Linked DNA regions of Mytilus edulis. The protein of the gene in region 2 purifies or fractionates together with the protein of the main gene of each other region. This does not show direct contact. Links are inferred from orthologs where the notes say so. Each region holds a gene or a part of one and is shown on either strand. Other genes may lie near its edges. The genes, in order: protein LTO1 homolog and ATP-binding cassette sub-family E member 1-like.

The links.
Region 1: the proteins of ATP-binding cassette sub-family E member 1-like (region 2) and protein LTO1 homolog purify together in Homo sapiens (affinity purification with mass spectrometry; 4 studies listed by BioGRID and IntAct, with this or other methods). This does not show direct contact. The link is inferred for Mytilus edulis from reciprocal best matches to the Homo sapiens genes ABCE1 and LTO1.

What each region holds. Positions count from the first base shown.
Region 1 is NC_092353.1:26,000,219-26,011,325, forward strand, and holds the start of protein LTO1 homolog, read left to right. Parts: upstream 1-5,958; 5' UTR 5,959-6,048; coding exon 6,049-6,104; intron 6,105-9,252; coding exon 9,253-9,358; intron 9,359-9,571; coding exon 9,572-9,639; intron 9,640-11,107. Other genes in the region: small acidic protein-like, read right to left, coding at 759-819, 1,257-1,343, 5,697-5,777. UniProt on the Homo sapiens protein: The complex LTO1:YAE1 functions as a target specific adapter that probably recruits apo-ABCE1 to the cytosolic iron-sulfur protein assembly (CIA) complex machinery. May be required for biogenesis of the large ribosomal subunit and initiation of translation.
Region 2 is NC_092351.1:71,729,055-71,739,784, forward strand, and holds the start of ATP-binding cassette sub-family E member 1-like, read right to left. Parts: upstream 5,022-10,730; 5' UTR 4,921-5,021; exon of another isoform or gene 4,882-4,920; intron 481-4,881; 5' UTR 476-480; coding exon 364-475; intron 1-363. Other genes in the region: uncharacterized protein, read right to left, coding at 9,725-10,730. UniProt on the Homo sapiens protein: Nucleoside-triphosphatase (NTPase) involved in ribosome recycling by mediating ribosome disassembly. Able to hydrolyze ATP, GTP, UTP and CTP. Splits ribosomes into free 60S subunits and tRNA- and mRNA-bound 40S subunits.

The DNA.
Region 1 (11,107 bases), on a different chromosome or scaffold from region 2:
GACCTGATAAACAATTTTGCCCCATGTCAGATTTGCTCTAAATGCTTTGGTTTTTGAGTTATAAGCCCAAAACTGCATTTTAACCCTATGTTCTATTTTTAGCCATGGCGGCCATCTTGGTTGGTTGGGCGGGTCACCGGACACAATTTTTAAACTAGATACCCTAATAATGATTTTGGCCATGTTTGGTTAAATTTGGCCCAGCAGTTTCAGAGGAGAAGATTTTTGTAAAAGTTAACGACGACGGACGCAGGACGACGCCGGACGATGCCGGACGCCGGACGCCAAGTGATGAGAAAAGCTCACTTGGCCCTTCGGGCCAGGTGAGCTAAAAATCATCTTGATGTCTTCAGTAATATGCATAAGTTCCTTTTAATGAACCAAGGACCATGATGTTGAATTCCCTTGCAATATCTTTTTACTCATTAGTTTAGTCAATCTCTGTTAGTCTTTGTTACATTAAATCTTTGACATGTCTTGATTCCAGGTGATAACACCTTGACATATCATATTAGACAAAATTAGCCAGCTTGTTGAAGACCAAATGTTAACCTGTAGATTTCCTTTTAGTTTGTATGTGTGCTCGGTTGCAGTCTTATGGGTAAAAAAATAATCTTGAAATACAAACTTGGAACGAATTCAATACTTTTATTAAATTTTGAAACTTTGTTTTTTGTTTTTTTTTAATTTTTGCCATTTAATTCAGGTTAATATGTTGACTGGCATAAAAAATGCAGAACTTTGCAACATGTACATACTTTCCCTTTCATGTTGATGCATTTTCTCCTCACCAATAACAAATTGTCCATGGTGTTCTTTCTGAAAATATATCAAATGCACTTTGTTAAAATATAATTTTTCACTTTTTGGGTCTTTTTGAAAATGTTGTTTGTGCTGTATTGAGACCCCTCTACAACAAAATTTGTTTTACATGCACACATATAAAAATTAAGGTTTTTATCTAATGCAATTATAGGTTTGAACGTTGTTTTCAATTAAGACTTGTTTATATACATATAAATTGCTTCACTAAGCACAGCTGGATTTGACCACAGAGGTCCAACAGTCGGGGCAAAATTGGACACAATATTCTCACTTGATACAGGTCTGAATTTGGATTGTAATTAATTTATTACAAAAGCTCATTTTGCGTGTTGAGTAGACATGTGATGAAAACAAATTGTGAAAACGTGATATGACACTACCATTTTGATATTTATAGATCCTTAATGTACAATTAACATAAACATCTGTACCTTTGCAGCACCCATCAAACGAAGGAATTTATTCTTCCTGTTAGTATCTCCCAAATCTACTTCTTCCCACTTGTTGGCAGAGTGAACCTTAAAATATATATGTGCATAAGTTAACATTCACAATTAAAGCAGGTTAAACTCACAAGCTATTACTCACTAATACTTACCCTGCTTTAAGTATTTGGCTAACAGGAAGCTGAAGAAAAATGAATCTGAAAACAAATTACTTAGTCTAGCATGTGCATATGAAAAATGCAGATAGCAAATTATGTGAGGTTCAGTTTCATAGATAAATCTAATGATGTTTTCAAATATAAGGCCATTAAGACGTTAAGAGCATATATTAAAATATTCTAAATTCTAGAGACTGTTGACTGATGAATCTTAAACCATGTCTCAAAGTAAAACATGCTGACATGAAGCCTGATAACAATTTTCAGGAATCTATTGTTTGTAGTTCCTGATTGAAATTAATTGTGAAATTTTCGAAGGAATACTGTATGTATAGTATGATAGTAAAGATGATTAAAATTAATGAACAATATTTTCTATATATATATGTGTTAACAGTCCAGGTATCAGACTTTGTTATTTTCTATGTCTGAAGAGGTTATCTTTGTGTTCAGGTTTAAAAATCAGAGAGGCAGATTTAGGGGGGGGGGGGGGGGGGGGGGGCAGGGGGCCTGGGCCTGATTGTTATAAATATAGAATACTTTTAGAAAGAAAAACTATATGAAAGCTTAGTTTGGACAATTTTATAGCAATTCAAAATAAACAGTTCCTCTTATTTATAAGAATCAGACATTATGTGAATTAAAACATCACATATTCAGTAAAATATGTGTAAAATTGCAATATATGTTTGTAGGAAGTTTCCATGGGGGAGATAATAACTTTTCTTTCAAAAAGTCTTTATTCAAAAGAATAATATTTTAGGTTATCTCCCCTGAAAACTTATCAATAGCATATTGTTATTTTACTGAATATATGATCAGTGGTCTCGCTAGCCCAAAATAGAAGGGCGCCGCGCCCTGGGTGCCCTCAGCTGCGCCCTGGGTGCCTTCATCCGCGCCCTTCTGCCCTGACGTCTTTTTCCAAAATTATCTGGTGCCGTTTTGGTAAAATTTTGTTTCATCGATTTCTGATCTCCAAGTTAATTACATATATGACACCTGTGTGATTGCCCCCATGTTAATCATGTCATTACAATCAATTACAATGATAAAGACTTCAAAGGTGTTAATAACTAGGTAATTTAATTAGGACAATGTATCTTTTTGTCATACTTCTACTTCTACTTCTACCATATAGTGACAGCCTTCAACAAATTGAAGATTATGTCACAGGAGGAAACTTACAACAAGACATAGATTGAAAAATGTACAAGTTTAAAAAAAAAAAAAAAAAAAAAAAAATATGAAAAATTAAAAAATATAAAATGTTTTGTATAATAAAGTAAGATGTTGTAATTAATATTGATGCTTTGAGATTGAAGATTTAAAAGAGTCTACTGAAGTGCAATTTACAATGTTATCTGGTAGTTTGTTCCAGTCGGTAATAGTTCTTGGAAAATATGATTCTTTTCTGTACTGTGTTTTGCAGGATGGAATTTGGAAGCTGTTCGAATTAGAATGTCTTGTTTGTCTTTTTTGAGGAATTAATTTATTATTTTTAGGAATTGCAACCTTTTCGTGTTCAATTTTGAAAAGCATTACCAATCTGGAGTCTTTTCTTCTGTCAGAGAGACTGCGCCATTCAAGATGTTGTAACATGTTACCAACGCTTGAGGTGTTTCTGTATTTGTTGGTAACAAAACGTGCAGCCCTCCTTTGAACTTTTTCAATGCTATCTATGTCTTGTTGTAAGTATGGATCCCAAACAGAGCAAGCATACTCTAGTGATGGTCTTACTAGGGACTTATATGCTTGCTCTTTAATGGATGTTGAACTTATGTTCAGGTTCCTCCTTAGAAAGCCTAGTGTGCTATTAGCTTTCTTGCATATGTTGTTAATATGCACATCCCATTTAAGGTTGGAACTGATGGTGACCCCCAGATATTTTGCTGTTGTTACATGTTCTAATGAATGATTGTGTAATGTGTAGTTAAATGTGATTGGTTTTTTATTTCTGGTGACTGAAATTACATTACACTTATCTGGGTGGAATGCCATTTTCCAAGTAGTTTCCCACGATGCCAGTTTGTTTAGATCTTTTTGTAATGTTAATGCATCGGAGTTTGATTTTATTGCCAAATAAACTATTGTGTCGTCTGCAAATAAACGTACTGTAGATGTTAGACCAGTTGGAATGTCATTTATATAGTACAAGAAGAGACTTGGTCCAAGAACTGACCCCTGTGGAACCCCTGACTCAACTGCAACATACTCAGATTTTTCCCCCTCTAGAACTACTGCCTGTTTGCGATTGCTAAGAAAATTTTGTATCCAGTAATTTAATTCCCCTTGTATCCCGTAATGATGAATGTGTCAGCGAGTGTGTTTTAAGCTTGGGTCTGCATTTTCGATCTCCAAGTCACAATGGAAGAGCGTATATAAATGAAGACTTTCATGACTTTAGAATTGAATTTAAGTCATCAAAATAAAACTATGCCTTTACAGAAATGCCTTCCATCTCAACTTGTTAGCGACAAGCACAGTTTTTAATTAACCCAAACGTGGTGGAAATTGATTTTGGAGTTACTTCCCCTGTTTTAGCTTATTACAAATTTGTGCTCTAAAAATATTATCTAGTACCAAAAAAAGGAATAAATTACCAATTGAATATATAATAACATAATAATGTTACCTTAAAGATATTAACTGTCTTTGAACATATCAAAAAATATATATTGCAATTTCTACTTGATAATTATACTTTTAGCAATCCATGTTCTAAACATTGTTAAATTAGTAATGCTCTCTGTTTCAGATCATATGATGTTTTCAAAGCTATAAATCCTATATAGATAAAAAAAAAAAAACAAAAAAAAAACACATATTCTTTGATAATGGGTAGAGTGAAGTTGAACTGTAAAAACATAATATGTTGATGAAGATGTACTATATCAGTCATAACTACACAAACAATGAAATAAAGACTATAGTTGAAAAGCATCTTTATTTAAAAAAAAAAAACATATACAGTAAAAAAAAAAAAAGAGAATCGTGAACTCGTGATACACACAGAAACGTAGACAAAAAAATGAGCAGTGCCTTTTCTTATCATAAAAAGTGCCCTGCCCTCCACTGGCACCCTGCCCCTTTTGATTTCTAGCTAGAGCACTGATGATGTTTTATTTAAAATGATATCTGATTCTTATAAATATAGAATACTTTTAGAAAGAAAAACTATATGAAAGCTTAGTTTGGACAATTTAATAGCAATTCCAAATAAACAGTTCCCCTTCAGCATGGAAATGAATATAATATAACTATACAAACTGATAAACTACATTGTCACAACATCATTAAAGTGGAGTTAAAGTCTTATAGGATTGTAAGTATGTTTTATTTTATCACCTTGCACTTTCATGACTTGGCTGTGGTTTTCTACAGCAGTTGGTTCAAATTTCTGACCAGTTGAACAATTTGAATTTGTAAAACAAATTGCAATTTGGTCAAAATTTTGAATGAGTTGCAATTGGTGAAGAGCAACACTAACAGTCAACTCACTGTAAAGAATTATTAAAAATGAAATTGATATTGCGCTCCTCCCTATTTTATACTAGACTGATAAATATATATTTTACTCAAAATTTCCTGCAAACGAGACCGGAAAAAGGAAGTACATTGTAGATTTCTGCGCAGATGCAGGAATTCAAAACATGCCATAAAAAAAATTGAACGATTTTGAGTTCATTAGTACAATAAAAATTTGGGGGAAAATTTTCCAGATTGTTTTTTTTTTTTTATTGAATTTTCTACTGTTATTGGGGACTTCGTCCCCATATTATTTACTGACTTTTATTGATTGAATTTCTGATTCCTGTGATAAGACAATACAAATACAACTGCTTCAAAATCAGTCAATTGTATTATCGTCATAAAGAAAATGTGCATTTTATCATTATGCACAAAAAATAACTGTTTAACGTCATTTGTCATGATTTTGTTTACCGTTATTCATCATAAAAGTATCTATACTTGATACCAGTATGCATGCTTTGCATGATGTGCTAACTGTTTTATATCTTGTGGCTGTGCTTATCACATATATGTATGGCAGTCAAAAACTCTACATAGCTATGTTGTATTGGTATATGCATACCCGACTTTAAATAAATCTTTTATGCTTTATGCTTATGGAACCCCTGTTTCGACCCTCATGTCTTGCAACAATAATTTGTTCTTTTTACAAAGTATAACAAAGCCTGATAATGCTATTTAGTGAAGACTAAAGTATAAATGTTATTTAAAGACACTAAGTCATCTGTTTCATTACATTTTCTGGCTCCTTTTCAGCTTTTTTGCTGGATTCTTCCTTTGTTTCTGTTTTCTCTGTCGTTTTTTCCTTTTCACTCATTTTTTCTCGAAGAAATGCTTGCCCCTTCTATCAATAAAAAACGGAAATTAATTTCAATATTGATCATTCACAAGTAAGTGAATGAATAACTAATTATTTTAAACAACAGACAAAGTCATTATGAACGGAAATTTATAACAGTTTGAACATTAAAACTTTCCTGATCCCTTTTTTTGTTCTAAACTTTTCAATGATATAAGTCAAAGGGAGATAATCTTTTCTTTCACTTTCACTTTGATTTACGGTGTTTTACATTTCTCATTATTTAAGAATGGCAAACAATACAGAAGATGATATATTTCATGATATCATAATGGGTGAAGAAAAGTAATTACCCGCTATTGAGCACTCTTTCAATTTATATTGTCATATTTCAAGCCATACAATCATATTAAATCCAAGAAATGTTATCTACACTCAAAATCTTTTGTATTGATCAGTTGATATAATTTGTGCCTTTTGTGGAGTTCGACTGTCCTTGAGTTATTTTTCCTTTGACCTGATGAAACATCTTTCATCTTTTACAATAATTCAATATTTTTTTTCTTCCAATAAAATTACTATGCATTAGACGAAATGCAGCCGCTAGGTGAGATCAAGACTGGTTGATGGCTTTCCATCCAGACAAGTGCACAGTCCTTACAGTATCACAAAAGAAAAAACAGTTTAAACATGACTATATCCTGCACAATCACAAACTTTGAACTAGTCACTTCAGCTAAATATCTGGGCATTACACTACAAACAAACTTAAAATGGTCAATTTTTTTATAAATGTTGTTTTGTTAAACATGTCTCATATGTCGGTTAAAAGCTCATTAGAGCTTATGTTTGTCTATGTTTGTATACCTTGCCGACTCTTATATAAAGCTTATTTATTATTTATTATTATTTATTATTAAAACATACAGATAACATCATAGCTAATGGTAACAAATCTTTGGGCTTCTTAAAAAGAAATTTAAAAACATCATGCCAGAACATCAAAACCCAGGCATATCTGGCACTAGTTCGTCCTAAGCTTAAATATTCATGTTCTGTATGGGACCCTCACGCAGTTGAACAAACCTTTAAAATTGAGATGGTCCAAAGATGAGCTGCTAGATATGTCTGTAACAGGTACCATAACATCAGCAGTCTTACAGACATGATAAACTCACTAAACCTGCCCACACTACAGGAAAGAAGATTACGCACAAGATTGATAATGTTCTACAAAATAGTACATCAAATCGCAGCAATCCCATCTGCTAACCTCATACCATCAGACAGTAGAACCCGCAAAAATCATAGTTTCACTTTCAGACACATTTCTTCCAAAAAAGATAAATATAGATTTTCATTTTTTCCGTACACCATTACTCAGTGGAATTTACTACCAGTCCACACAGTTGCTGTAACCACAGTCGACACATTCAGAGAACAGCTTTAACGGTTTATTTCTTCCTCTGTGATATTTTATCCTGAGGATAATTTGTCCCGGTAATTTTTTTCCAGGCATGGTATTTCACAGGTTGATTTTTTCCAGAGGAGTGAAAATCTATCTGTGTTATGCGGATAGTATTTACCGGTATATATTTGCCGTTCTATATTTCATAGAACCGTGTGAAATAGAGTCCCATTAACTACTATGTAAGTTACTCACAATCTATATATCTGACTACAATTATAAAATGTTTCACAAAGGTAGACCAAATTTGCATAATTTATCAAAGGGAGGTAATTATGAGCAATTTATATTTTTAAGATATATATTTCTGAATCTATTTTATAGCGAAAATTTTCCCTTTAATCTTATTTTTTATATATTCATTTATATAAAAAGATGACTTACAACTTGATATAATAAGACAGAAAACATTTCACAGGTAAAAAATATCCAGCTGTTAAACATGCTTTTGTTCCAATACATTGTTATGCTATGATTTGTCTGATTTCCATATAATCAACAAATACATCTCTGTCCCCAGACAAAACTATTTGTATAGTTAAAAATATCATCATAATCAAATTCTTCTATTACTGCTAACGTTAGTAATGCAACTATATTTCTACCTTACTTTTAAATTTATATTTGTACTGAGATCTGAAAACAACTCACTTGTACATGTATTTCACTAATCTTATTTAATCATGATATTATTTTCACAATTATGATTTTTGAAATTAAATCTGGTTTTCTTCCCTATGTTTCATGATAATTTTCCTTTTAAAAGGATGATATTGACTTGAATATTTCAGGAAATTTTTTCAAGGATAATTTGTGAAATTATTTCCCATTATAATACTTTTTTTTAACAATTTCCTTTTATTTGAAATACACTATTATTATTTCATAGGATAAGTTTTTTCTAATAACTATTCAATAAGTTAACTAACCAGATAGAATTTCACGGCAAAGGCAAAAATATCCCAGGGAAAGATTTTCCTCCGGATAAAAAAAATAACAACAACTACTGTGACATTTTTTCCTCCGGATCAAATTCCACCCGGATATAATTTTGCTTTACACTTACGCTAACTGTTCTCCACAAATTCATTCAACTCATTATTTGCCAATGTACATAGTTTTAATCACAATTTAAAATTAATTTTTACACACTCCAAACTCATTTTCAATTATTTTTGTGGTTATGTAAATATATATATAGGCCACGCAGTGCAAAACAGTATATAATCTTCAGATAATGAAAAACTACGGAAAACCTAAAGAAGAAGAAGACAAGCATAGTAAAATCTAGTCCAAATAATTATGAGGCTATTATACTTTGTTTCTTTGACACCTTACATTGCATGAAGGCATCAAAGCAAAAAGTCCAATACGTCATAATTATTTGGACTCAGTAAAATCCTGCGCGACATAGTAAAATCAATGCCCAGCATGTTATCATCAATACTTTCATGGAGTGCTGAATTATAAAGAAGATATGTCCTTTGCTCCTGACTCATCTGTTTATTTAATCCATAAAATGTGTATCTGTTTAATTTAAAAAAAAAATAGTATGAGAATGGCATAGAAGTTTTTTTTATCACACAACCTTGAACTATATACAAGTAACTATATCTTTTATCATCTTTTACCAATTGTTCAAAAGACAGTCATGTGGAAAATCTCAGATCTTTTTCAGGACTTGAGGTCATTGTGCATAGTTCTCTCAGTTGAAGTTCAATACACCAATCTTGGGTTGTTTTCTATAGATAGGTTACACTAGCTGACCCAGAGTCAATCTAAATAAACAATTTAATCAAACAATAGGTGATTACTCTGATGTAATAAAATCAGCATTGTGACATAAAATAAGATACAGGTATACAGGAAAGAGCATGAATTCAAAAGTCATCAATAGTAAGACACAATGGGACTAAATCATTTTCATTTAGGCAGTATTAAAATGTACAAACATTTGGTCATTGAAACAAGAAAAACAAGTGGTGTGTCCATCATTAAAGATTTACTTCAAAATTTTGTTTTCAGATCTCAGTTGCAGGGTTATGAAGCTGGATTTGAAGCAGGAAAACAATCTGGATATGATGAAGGATACAGACTAGGTTGGGAAAAGGGATCTTCTATTGCATCAGAGGTACAAAAAAGTCATATTTTATTTAATTTTAAAAAGTTGTTATCAAGTAAAATGCAATCTGTACATGACTGAAATTTAACTTTATACATATATAAATAATGCATCTAGAATCAATGATAAAAGAAAATAAAGGAACATATATATATCAGTTATGTGACATTATTAGTTGTAAAAGGTTTTGGATAAGCATTTCAATATCTTTGTTTTTTGTAGGTTGGATTTTATCATGGTTTCATTGAAGAACTTCAAATTAAAATACAGGATGATGACAGCAAACAGAGGTTTGTATCTTGTAACTTTCTAAATACCTTGTATAAACATTCATATGAAATCAAGTACCTCATATAAACATAATTGTACATGTATCAATCAAAAAGCACTTTTAGTAGTTTCTATCATGCTTATTTCAATAATCACCTTTTAAAAGGCCAAGCGAGCTTTTGTCATCACCTGGTGTCCAGTGTGGTTAACTTTTACAAAAAAATCTTCTCCTCTGAAACTACTTGGCCAAATTTAAACAAACTTCGCCATAATCATTAAGCAGTAAAATCTACTAATAAGTCAACTTTACGAAAATTTTTGTTTGACCCCTTTAAAGTCAATTTTTAACAATTTCTTCTCAGAAAGATTGTTTTAGCTCACCTTTCCAAACAAAATACTCAATAACTCCAAAATAAAGTTTTGAATCATCAACAAAAAGTATACAGATCTTTCAGATCTTTAGATTAATATAACAAAGAAGTGTGTAAAGTTTTAAGCAATAATCATAAATTATTTTTGAGATACGGCGCAACATGTAAAAAAAAACCTCCCCTGTTCAACAAAATACTCAATAACTTCAAAATAAAGTTTTGAATCATCAACAAAAAGTATACAGATCTTTAGATTAATATAACAAAGAAGTGTGTAAAGTTTTAAGCAATAATCATAAATTGTTTTTGAGATAGGCACAACATGTAAAAAAAAAAACCTCCCCCTTTTTTACAAAATACTCAATAACTCAAAAATGAAATTTTGAATCATCACCAAAAAGTATACAGATCTTCAGATTAATTAAACAAAGACATGTGTAAAGTTTTAAGCAATAATCATAAATCGTTTATGAGATATGGTGCGACATGTAAAAAAACACTCCCCCTTTTTTACAAAATACTCAATAACTCAAAAATAAAATTTTGAATCATCACCAAAAAGTATACAGATATTAAGATTAATATAAATAAGTTTTAAGCCATAATCAAGAATCGTTTTTGAGATACGGTGCGACATAAGAAAAAAACACACCCCTGTTTTAGTTACAAAGTGCCGTAACTCAAAAAGTTTTAATCTTATTTTCACCAAAAAGTATACAGGTCATTTGACCATCATAAGAAACATTTATGTAAAGTTTCATGAAATTTGGATAAGTCGTTCTCGAGTTATGGTGCGACATGTTTACGCTGGACAGACAGACGGACGGACAGACAGATGGACGGACACCGGACATTTGTATACCATAATACAACCCGTCAAAATTTTGACGGGCCTATAAAAATTGTGAACAATTGTTACCTGAGAACAGTTAATTCACTAATGAGGAGAACAATTGTTTCACAATCGGTATGGAAATCTGAAAAAAGAAATTAATTGGAAAAATTTGGATCTTATCTGCAGCTTCTCAGTAACCACTTAACAAAAATATAATCAAAGGTGAACATTATCTACAGGAGTTATTGTAGCATTGAAGAATATATTAAATTGATATTGTTA
Region 2 (10,730 bases):
AATCATAGCAATAGATGGAACAATTCTTACAAAAGTAAAAGATTTCATATATTTCTACTGGCACATTAATTTTACAACAGGTCAAAATTTAATTACAATTGAGCTGCGTCAAGATAGAAATCAACATTATGCAAGTGCATGTATACATGTACATTGATCGACTTAGAAACATTCAAATACGAAATCAAATCTGATTGGTGGTATGTTTTGAATAGGATTCTTTTATCATGTATTTTTCAAACTGTTAAAGACTTTGCAAAGATTTTTTTTCCCCACCTAAATCAAATAAAAATATGTACTGATCATGATATTCATTTGAATAAGGTTGATTTTATCCGACAGCTCATTTGTAGATCTACTCACCCATTCTTACTACAGGACAGGACTTCTTACACTCCTGTCTGCATCTTTTTGGTTTGCATTTGTCATTGCTGACAATAGCAATACGAGTTAACTTATCTTGTGTTTTCGACATTGTTTCTGAAAATAAATTAAAGAAGTTGTAAAAGTAAACAGTAAAATATTGCTAAATGGTCTAATATTACCAAATAGTCACTGATAGAGGAATGCTTTAAGGAACCATTTAAGGTTGAAAAAGCAAAATGTTGGTTTTTTTTGGCAACACACAAGCATCAAATTATAGAATTTTTTGTGGTAGGCTAAAATTAATTTACCTTTCAATTTTATTAATTGGCACAGACAGTCAATCAGAAATAATTCTTTCCAAAAAATAACCCTTCACTCCTTGAGAGTTAAATGGTCTTCCCGATGTTTAATTTTTTTTAATATATCTCAAGTTAGAGACTAGTATTATTTAACACCCACAATGGGCTGTAATATGACTGCGCAAATTTAAAAAAATTTTTTATTCCAACTTCCAAGGGAAAAAGTAAAATCACATAAATACTTAACTCAGAGGAAAATTAAAAAAACGGAAATTCACATATAACACCCACAATGGGTTGTAATTTGACTGCGCAAAATTTTACTTTCTTTTTATTCCAACTTCCAAGGGAAAAAGAAAAATCACAAAAATACTGAACTCAGAGGAAAATTCAAAACGGAAATTCCCTTATCGAATGGCAAAATCAAATGATAAAACACATCAAACGAATGGACAACAACCGTCAAATTCCTGACTTGGTACAGGCATTTTCAAATGTAGAAAGTGGTGGATTGAACCTGGTTTTATAGCGCTAAACCTCATACTTGTATGACAGTTGCATCAAAATCCGTTATTTTAATAACGATGCGTGAAAAAAACAGACATAATCAGTAAAATAGTCAAAATATCATTTTATGGTTTCAGCAAAATATTGCCAAGAGAAAATCCTTACATAAAAGGCAACAACTTTTACAGATTTGTTTTATTTATGAGTAAATCCCTTGCATTTTTCTTCATTTGCAGTCCTTAACCATTTATTTTTTTGGGGGGGGGGGGGGGGGGGCAAAAATGCACTGTTCATTTTTTTTTTGCATTCAAAATACAGTCAATCTGTAAATTTTCTTCTTCTTCTTCCAGGTAAGGAACTCCGAATTCGCATTTTGAATGAATGAGGTCCCGCGAAGTTTTTCTTTTTTCAATTTATATGGGGACAGAGTCCCCAATAACAGTAGAAAATTCAATAAAAAAAAAAATACGGGAAAATTTCCTGAATTTTTCATTGTACTATTGAACTCAAAATCGTTCAATTTTTTTTTTGTCGTGTTTTGAAATCCCGGACCTGCGCAGAAATGTACAATGTACTTCCTTTTTCCGGTCTCGTTTGTATGAAACTTTGAGTAAAATATATATTTATCAGTCTAGTATAAAATAGGAAGGAACGCGCAATACCAATTTCATTTTTAATATTCCTTGATATGAAAAAACGTTACCTGATGATAGCGTTTCTTTGTTTACATTGCATATGACGTCATAATTTAAATAACGTCACAACTAAATCCCTAACAACAGAACCAAAATCGGAAACGTTACGGTATTTCCGTTTCTTTTTTTTTAAACAAATATTTAAGTTACAAAAAATAATTCATACAGACTTCGTCCCCATTTAGGCAGCAACCATTTGATTTTCTGGGGGGGGCTATGGTTTTTTTTGGAAAAAAAAGTTTGTTTCCAGTTTTCGGAGAAAAAAATAATTTGTTTTTGATTCTGAGAAAAAAAAATTGTTTGTTTCCCCCTCAGCTGCCACTATATGTAATGCTAAAATTGAAAGAAAAAAATTGTTTTCGACTTGTTGCGAAAAAAATAGATTGTTTTTCGCCGCAGGCGAAAAAAAAAATTTGTCCAGAAAAAAAAACCATCTATCTATCTATCTATCTTCCCGTCAAGGAGTGGACTCATATTTGAGTGTATATACTCCAGCGTGAGTGAACAGCTAAAAACCTTCAAGTATGTACAGCTAAAAAGAGATCTGTATGTACAGTTAAAAACGGTGCTGTAATTTAGATGTGGAGTAGTGTCGACACGCTGACATCTTGGATGGCGTGTCGAAAGTGTTCCACAGACGGGGAAGCTCGGATATCTGGAGGTATGTTGTTCCAGGATATGATGGTGGCTGGGATGAATGAATATTTAAAGCAGTCCAGTCTGGTCCTTATCTGTCTGATGTTATTTGACACGGAACCACGGGTTCTGGTATCATGATGGCTGAGCAGGTGGTGAACAGGAACTTCTACAATATGGTTTATTATCTTGTAGAACATGATGACTCTGCTCCTAGCTCTCCTATGTTCCAGTGGTTCCCAACCTAGTTGCTGAGTCATTTTAGTCACACAACCTGGTTCCCTCGAGAAAAAGTCCCCCATTACGAATCTAGCAGCCTGGCGTTGTACGTTTTCCAGTTGTTGGATTTGTTGTTGCTGGTAGGGATCCCAGACAGCGCTGGCGTACTCGAGGACGGGTCTTACTAAAGTTGTGTAGGCTTGACTTTTTACTTCCTGAGGACAACATCTGAGGTTCCTTCGCAGGAATCCAACAGATCTGGAGGCTTTGGCTGTGGTCTGGTTAATGTGCTCACGCCAAGACAGGTCCTTGCTGATGTATAAGCCAAGGTATTTCCCGCCTGGGACGCTTTCAAGGGTATGGCCATGCAGATGGTAATCGCATATGGTGGGTTTGCGTTTCTTGCTGATATGGATGGTGGTGCATTTTTGCGGGTGGAACGCCATTTGCCAATCATTTTCCCATTTTTCTAATTTATCAAGGTCGTCTTGTAGCTTGGTGGAATCGCTAGTGGATCGAATAGGACGATATAACAGGCAGTCATCAGCAAACAATTTCACGCTCGAGTTAACCGATTCAGGGAGGTCATTGATGAAGACAAGAAAGAGCAGGGGTCCCATTACTGTACCTTGTGGTACACCAGAAACTACCTCTGCTTCGTCTGACATTGTTCCCTCCACTAGAACATGTTGTTTCCTACTGTTCAGGAAGCTCTCCACCCATTTGAGAGTATAGTCACTGACTCCATAGTATTGGAGCTTATGGAGAAGTCGCTTGTGTGGCACCTTATCAAAGGCTTTGGCAAAGTCTAATAGTATTGCGTCGATTTGTTGGCCATCTGATAGTCCATTTGCCAGTTCATGAATAGTGGCAATCAGCTGAGTCTCACATGAGCGTTTTGTGCGGAATCCATGTTGGGCTGGTGTTAAAATGGAGTGTTTTTCTAGGTGTTCCATTATCTTCGAGTGGAGTATGTGCTCCATCACTTTGGAGCAAATTGCTGTTAGAGACACAGGACGGTAATTTGCCGCAGTACTCTTGTCTCCTTTCTTGAAGAGGGGCACCACATGTGCCATGCGCCAGTCATCTGGAACTTGCCCAACATTAATTGAGAATTGAAAGATGTGTGCAAGAGCAGGCGCTAATTCTGATGATAACTCTTTAAGGAAGCGAGACGATATCGAGTCTGGTCCTGTTGCCTTGTGTGGGTTTAAATTTTTAAGAAGCTTGGCCACACCTGTGGTTCCGATGGTAATTGGTGCCATTTTGGGATAGGGACTAGGTCCCTTATCTGGCATTGTGTTTGTATCCTCCTCTGTGAAGACAGATTTAAATTGGTTGTTGAGGATATTAGCTTTTATCTTCGGGTCGTTGTGGATCAATCCGTCGGTGTTCCTAAGTGGAGCCACACCTGAGGCTTCCTGTTTCCCACTTTTCACGAAGGACCAAAACTTTTTGGGGTTCTGCTTCGCTTCCGGGCTAATGATGTCTTTAACATAATTGCTGTGAGCCTGTCTGATGTTGCGTTGACATTCTGCTTTAAGATGTTTATACCTGCGAACGTCTCTAGTGCTCTTAGTGGCATTTGCTTTTTTAAAAGCTCGGTCCTTGCGTCGTGCAAGTCGGCGTGTATCTGTGTTCATCCATGGATTTGTGTATCGTGAGCGAGTGAGTTTATGTGGGATGTGCTTGTCCATCAGAGTTAGGACTTTGTCCCGGAATGAAGTCCAACAAGTGTTCATGTTATGAGGTGGCTGTGAGACAAAGTCAGATACGAATAGGGTGACATCTGCCTTCAGAGATTGAAGGTTTGCTTTATCCCATAAGTAGATGACCATAGCCCCCCCCAGAAAATCAAATGGTTGCTGCCTTACAGGTAATGCCTGCCTCATATTTCTTTAGAAAGACGATGATAATCACTGGAAGTTGAACATAATTGCAACATTTGGATACTATCTGAAAATCTACCTCAACATGGATTAATTTTCTAATTACATGCATTATATTTGTGAAGACCCGACATATGGCAAATTGTGACAAAACTTCACAAGACAAAATTATCGAAAAGTACATCGAATATTGCCCAATTAAAAGTAAACAACAATCAATGCCATGATCATAGAATGATTTAAAAAATTGTTACGATTGTAAACTCATACAATGTCAGTAAAATTTGAGAAATACACAGTGGAGCCAACCGGCTTCTTCAGGGCTGGTAAATATGGCGGCCTCCTATTTCCACATGTTTCGCAATCATCAGCGTATCAGAGACGCTTTTATTGTTTGCTTGCATTTCGTTACTAAATTTGCATTTATATATAACTCTTTTATTCATATCTTTCATCTTTTATTAAAAAAGTAATAAAAAGGACGTTTAAGAATTTTGTTTGTTGTCTTGATAGTATATATTATTTTTCCAAGTATATTTATGAAAACGTAAGACTGATTCGGACAAAATTAGGATTTGAGGCTCACTAAAGGAAGTTTGTAAATTCTTAAGGCCAGCAAGAGGGCATTGTTCAACCTTTTTGGATATATGTGAGAACTCTCTGAATCAGAAGTTTACACCTTTTCCATTTAATCTGGAAAAAAATAAAATAGCTTGGTAAGACTATTTGACTTGAAGGGCTGATGCAGTTTGATAAACGGATACGGTAGAGTGGGGTGATCATCATTTTCGCCATATCTTTCCATGTTGTCTTCAGTTTATGTTCAGGTCTTTATGTTTTTGAAGTATACTGATATAACTTCAAATGCAAAATATTCTTAGCTTGAAAACGTGTTTGTTTTTAGTAAAATCATCTGAAAAGTTGGATTAAAGGGTGTTTGAAATTTTCTAATTTTTTGTCAAAGGGGGACACATATTCGCCGTTTTTACATATCTATTTAAAACCAAATAACTGCAGCTTTAAACAATATTTATAAAAAAAATTCATTATAGACGAATAGCAGACATTTGAAAGGTGTAAAAACTTAAATTTAGGGCAATCAGTCAAAGAATTACTAAGGAATGCTTCTTTGAAATGTTTTTTTTCATTCAGGAAATTGGCTGAAAATCGTTGTTCATTTTTCGGTCCTTTGCCGTAAGTGCCGAAATTTAGCCTCATTTTCAAAAATAATCATATTTGTTATAAAAATATAATTAAACGGCATATTTCTTCCATTTTAGCCATCCTTTGGAGTTTTTACACCTCAAAATCATAAAACGGCGAAATTGTGTCCACGGCGAATATGAGCGCCCCACTCTAACAGTCGGACTCGCCTCGTCTGTTAAATTGATAAACGTTATTTCTATGGTACATTCATTGTTCCTAAACATACACAGACTTTATTAGGGCCTTGCATTTCTTCAAGTTGAAAATGTTTTTGTGACATATAACTTTGTCTAAATTAATATGGGAACTAACTGTGCACCTATCTTTGTCATTACGCATACTCTAACAATTCTCCTTGAATGAAAAAAAAAACGAAACTGAACGCGTGGGGAAAAAATAAATTCTGTTAAATCAGAATCAGAATAATTTATTATAGTGTCACGTACCAATATATAACATAGTGAATACATAATAATTATTACATAAAAAAAAAAAAAATTACAATTAAAAATTAAATATTACAATTATAAATTATTGAAATTGTAATTGTAATAAGTTTGCATATAAGAAAGTCCTTTAGCATCAACAACATATGTAATATGAAATATAGTACTAAGCGAAATAATATAAATGAAAACAGAGAGCAAAATAATATAAATGAAAACAGAGAGCAAAATAATAATTAAGAAAAAAAAACCTATTAAACAAATAGTACCTTATAATCTACCTCATAATCTACTTTATCAATTGTGACCGTAGTTTCCAGTTTTCATTTAACAAACAACAAAGTTTTAATACAAAAGTTCTTGAACAAGTTTGAATAAGTGATAAACATTTTGGCATATTAAGACAACAACAAAAATAACATGAATAATAAGACAAAAGATCTTAGACGCAAATGGGTATAGCAAATCATTACAAAATGATATTCATCTTCAATGGTTTTCATATTGCAACATTGACAGTCTTTCAGTACGAGGCACGTTGTTATATCTTGCAGGTTCAATGTTGAAACATATCTTAGTTGTGTTAAGAGTCTAACATTGACATCAAGAACTAATATTTTCCCAAACAAAAGTCAATTTTAAATATTTTCAAAATATCCATTTTTTCACAATCCAACATACAAGAAGGCCATCTTTGTAAAAACTTATCATAGAGTTTCAAAACATCATATGAAAAAAATACACTTTCTTTAAGTTATAACCGCTATACCATAAAAAAAATTATAACCAAGATCATTTAAAAAAAGGTACGAACATTTGACGCCCAGTTTGTTTTATCATTCTCAGCATCATTAACTACCGTTTTATACATCAAATACAATAATTCTTGGTAACAAATTTCAACTAAGCATTCTTTGTTTTCCAATAATATGCATTAGCAAATAACCAAGTTCGCCGTTAAGAGCATATAAAGGTGAATTTTAACGAACTTCAAGTACAAATCTACAAAATTTGTTATGATCCAATTAAATGTCCAAGTTGGCATTATGAAACCCTCTATCACAGAACCTTAGCTCAAGATCGAACAAACAAGACTATCGACCATTTCATATTTCTGTTGAGTTGATATATACAGCATCAGTGGCGGATCCAGAACTTTTCCTAAGGGGAAGCCCTCTGACTGACCTAAGGGGGCCCGCTCAAGTCATGCTTCAGTGCTTCCCTATATAATCAATCAATTTTTTCCAAAGAAAGGGCACCCCCCCCCCCCCCCCTGGATCCGCCTATGAGCATCTTAAATGAGTTAAAGAGTGACGCAAGAGCACCAGCATTAGTAGTTAAAGCCAATCACAACAAAACTAATGTAAATAAATTATGATCTCCCAGAATAAAGCATCAATCAGTATACATCCAACAAATTAAATGTAAAGACGCCACAAACAGCAACAAACAGATTGAGGAAGACACGACCTTTATTGTGCAATGCAAAAGTATCAACAGGATTTCGGATCATGAGTTCTCATATTTAGTCGTATATACGTGCTATTATATATTTAGTTATATTTTGATCTTTCAAAAACAAAATCGATTTTAGTACTGATAAAAAAAAGCAATATTCAAAGATCTTTTTCTAAAGTGTTATTAAATTGATAACTTTTAAAACTGTGTTTATTCAAAGCATAAATTAGTTTACATGGATCGTTTCTAAATTTACGGGCTCTACAACATCACCGTTAAAATTAGAGTTTGGTGGTTCCATTTTATTTGTCAGGTAACAAAATCCCTGAAGTTTTATCAATCAGTTACCAGGTATGCAAAAATGACGTTCCTCTAAATCTAAAACGTGACCACAGACCGTGACAGCCTGGTATAGCGAACCAGTTGTGAAATATACACACTGCAGGAAGAGGCAATTTTTTAGGAACATCAATTCGTATAAAAAAGAGGGGAAATTTACAATATGAAACGAAAAATTGTGTTTTGTCGTAATTTTGTATAATTTGAAAATTTATATCATACACATAACTTAGTTGGATCTCTATATCGTGAGTTTGACAAAATCAGATAGCTGTGATGACAATACAGGAATGCAATTGATGTCCATGGATATATCTACAACCTGTCGACAATGGTCAACTTTTAATTTATTGCTGAAAGGTACACTGATATTGTCAAGGAGATTTTACACCGGCTTTATTCGTCTCACCAAAGCGACTGAATAAGTATCTGTAGGATAGTTTTCGTTTTTCATTAAAATATAAGGTTTGTATGATCGGGTTGAACCACATAAATCGGAAACCAGATTTATGAAAGGACCATGCATTTATTTGAATAAGAGACATTCGGTTAGATAAGACGTACAGATGTGTGTATAGTGTACAGAGTCGAAAAATCGAAAATGTCAACCGAATTTTACTAACATCAAAAATACCCAAATTCTACAAAACATCTAAAGATCTTCTTTATATTCTTCTTATTTAGGTACAGAAAACCATCAACATTTTGAAGATTAATTTCCAGCGCATATCAGTGCTTTATTACAAAACATAAAAAGTTTTTTAATAAAAGTAAGAAGAATACTTAAAAAAAAATCATAATTGTTCAAGGACATAACCTTGTCATCTGCCCTTATTGATAAATCAAGGACTTCAGAAGGGACTGGACTATCTTATCCATCGACCGTGAAAGGAGTAGGTCCGGTAAGGACCGATTTTGGCCTCAAATTTCAGGTTCATCTGACGAAAGATTTTGACCACTTTTTAAACACTTAAGTGTCTATTTATTTTGAATTAATTAGTTTATGTGAAAGATTTTAACAGATTTAGTCATTAAAAACGATCCGATTCATGCTCAAATATGAAAAATCTACATAATATGCCGAAAAATGTCACTTTTCAGATGGTTTTTGGTAAAAATGAAAGTGGCCGCATCCGTGTTCATCCTCAACCTTTATATATGTTAAGTATTATCATAAAATACAACTTACATTTCAATATTAAGGATGAACACGAATGCGGCCACTTTCGTTTTACACGAAAACCGTCTAAAATTTAACTAAAATGCTAGAATTATGAGGATTTCAGTAATTTAGCATGACTTAATGGTGCTAGTCCCTGATATATGTGCATTGTATTGTCAAAACCAGCCCACATTTATGTAGCAGAAGCATTCTACTGTCCAATCAATAACTAAAAGTTTACATTTTAACAATTTTCTAAAACTGCTATATTTTGGGGCCAAAAAGGGGTCATACTGAACCTACTCCTTTTCCTTTAAAGTTCAAAAATTTAATTTCGAAAATATAAATTATCCAGCAGTATTCAGTATTAAGAGAATTGAATGAATGAATTCTTTATTTGCAAAGCAGTAGTTACATGCTATAGCAACACAAACATATTTACATTGTGACACACAATAAACAACAGAGAACAATATAATAAGATATTACAATAGACAAATTATCAACTTATTAGATGTGATCTAATCTGCCAGGCAGATTTCAAATAATTACATAATTTTCCAACTAAAGATCTAGATTTTGTTTGATACAGATACATAAGTTTTGTCACATTTGGCCACGAACAGTAATAATTTGGTAAAAACTGCAGTCGTACATGCCTATACACAGGACACACTAACGTAAAATGGTACTCATCTTCAACACTTTTCATATTACAGCAAGTACATAATCTGTTTTCTCTTAGTATATTTGTATAACGCCCCACCTCAACATTTAACTTCATAGTACCACTACGTAGCTTTGTGAAAAAATGTGAATTATAGTTATAATCTACGTAATCTTCAAAACAAAAATCTAATTTTAAAATTCTGTACATAGTAAGTTTCTCACAATCCTGTATAGATGCAGACCAGCTTTGAATATATTGATCTTTTAACCTAGTTTTTATTACATCTAATGATATATTTATACCAGACTGCTGGTACCATACAAAGTTTAAACCAATACTAAACAATAGGTCACGAACATTAGAAACCCAATTAGTTTTACCAGTATTTGCATCTCTGAGTAACAATATATAAATATCATACACAATAAGTGGTTTATGAGTTACAATTTTTAACCAGTATTTTAAAACTTTTTGTTTTCTAATTACATTCATTGGCAAACGCCCTAGTTCGCCATATAAAAATACATTTGGCGTACTTTTACCCAGTTTCAAAATAGATCGACAAAAACGGTTATGGATAATTTCAACATCATTTCCACGATGGAAACCCCAAATTTCCGAAGCATAATTTATCACAGACGCAACCATACTATCGAACAAATCACATTTCTTTTTCTTCGTCAAGTATAAACCATTTGTAGAATTATTTAGAGCTGCCAAAGATCGTGAACCTTGTAAGGCTAATCGCTTCTGTGTTTTTAAAATTTTTCCATTACAGTGTATCAGCATACCAAGATATATATACGAATCGACAATTTCTAGTTCTTCGTTGTTGTAG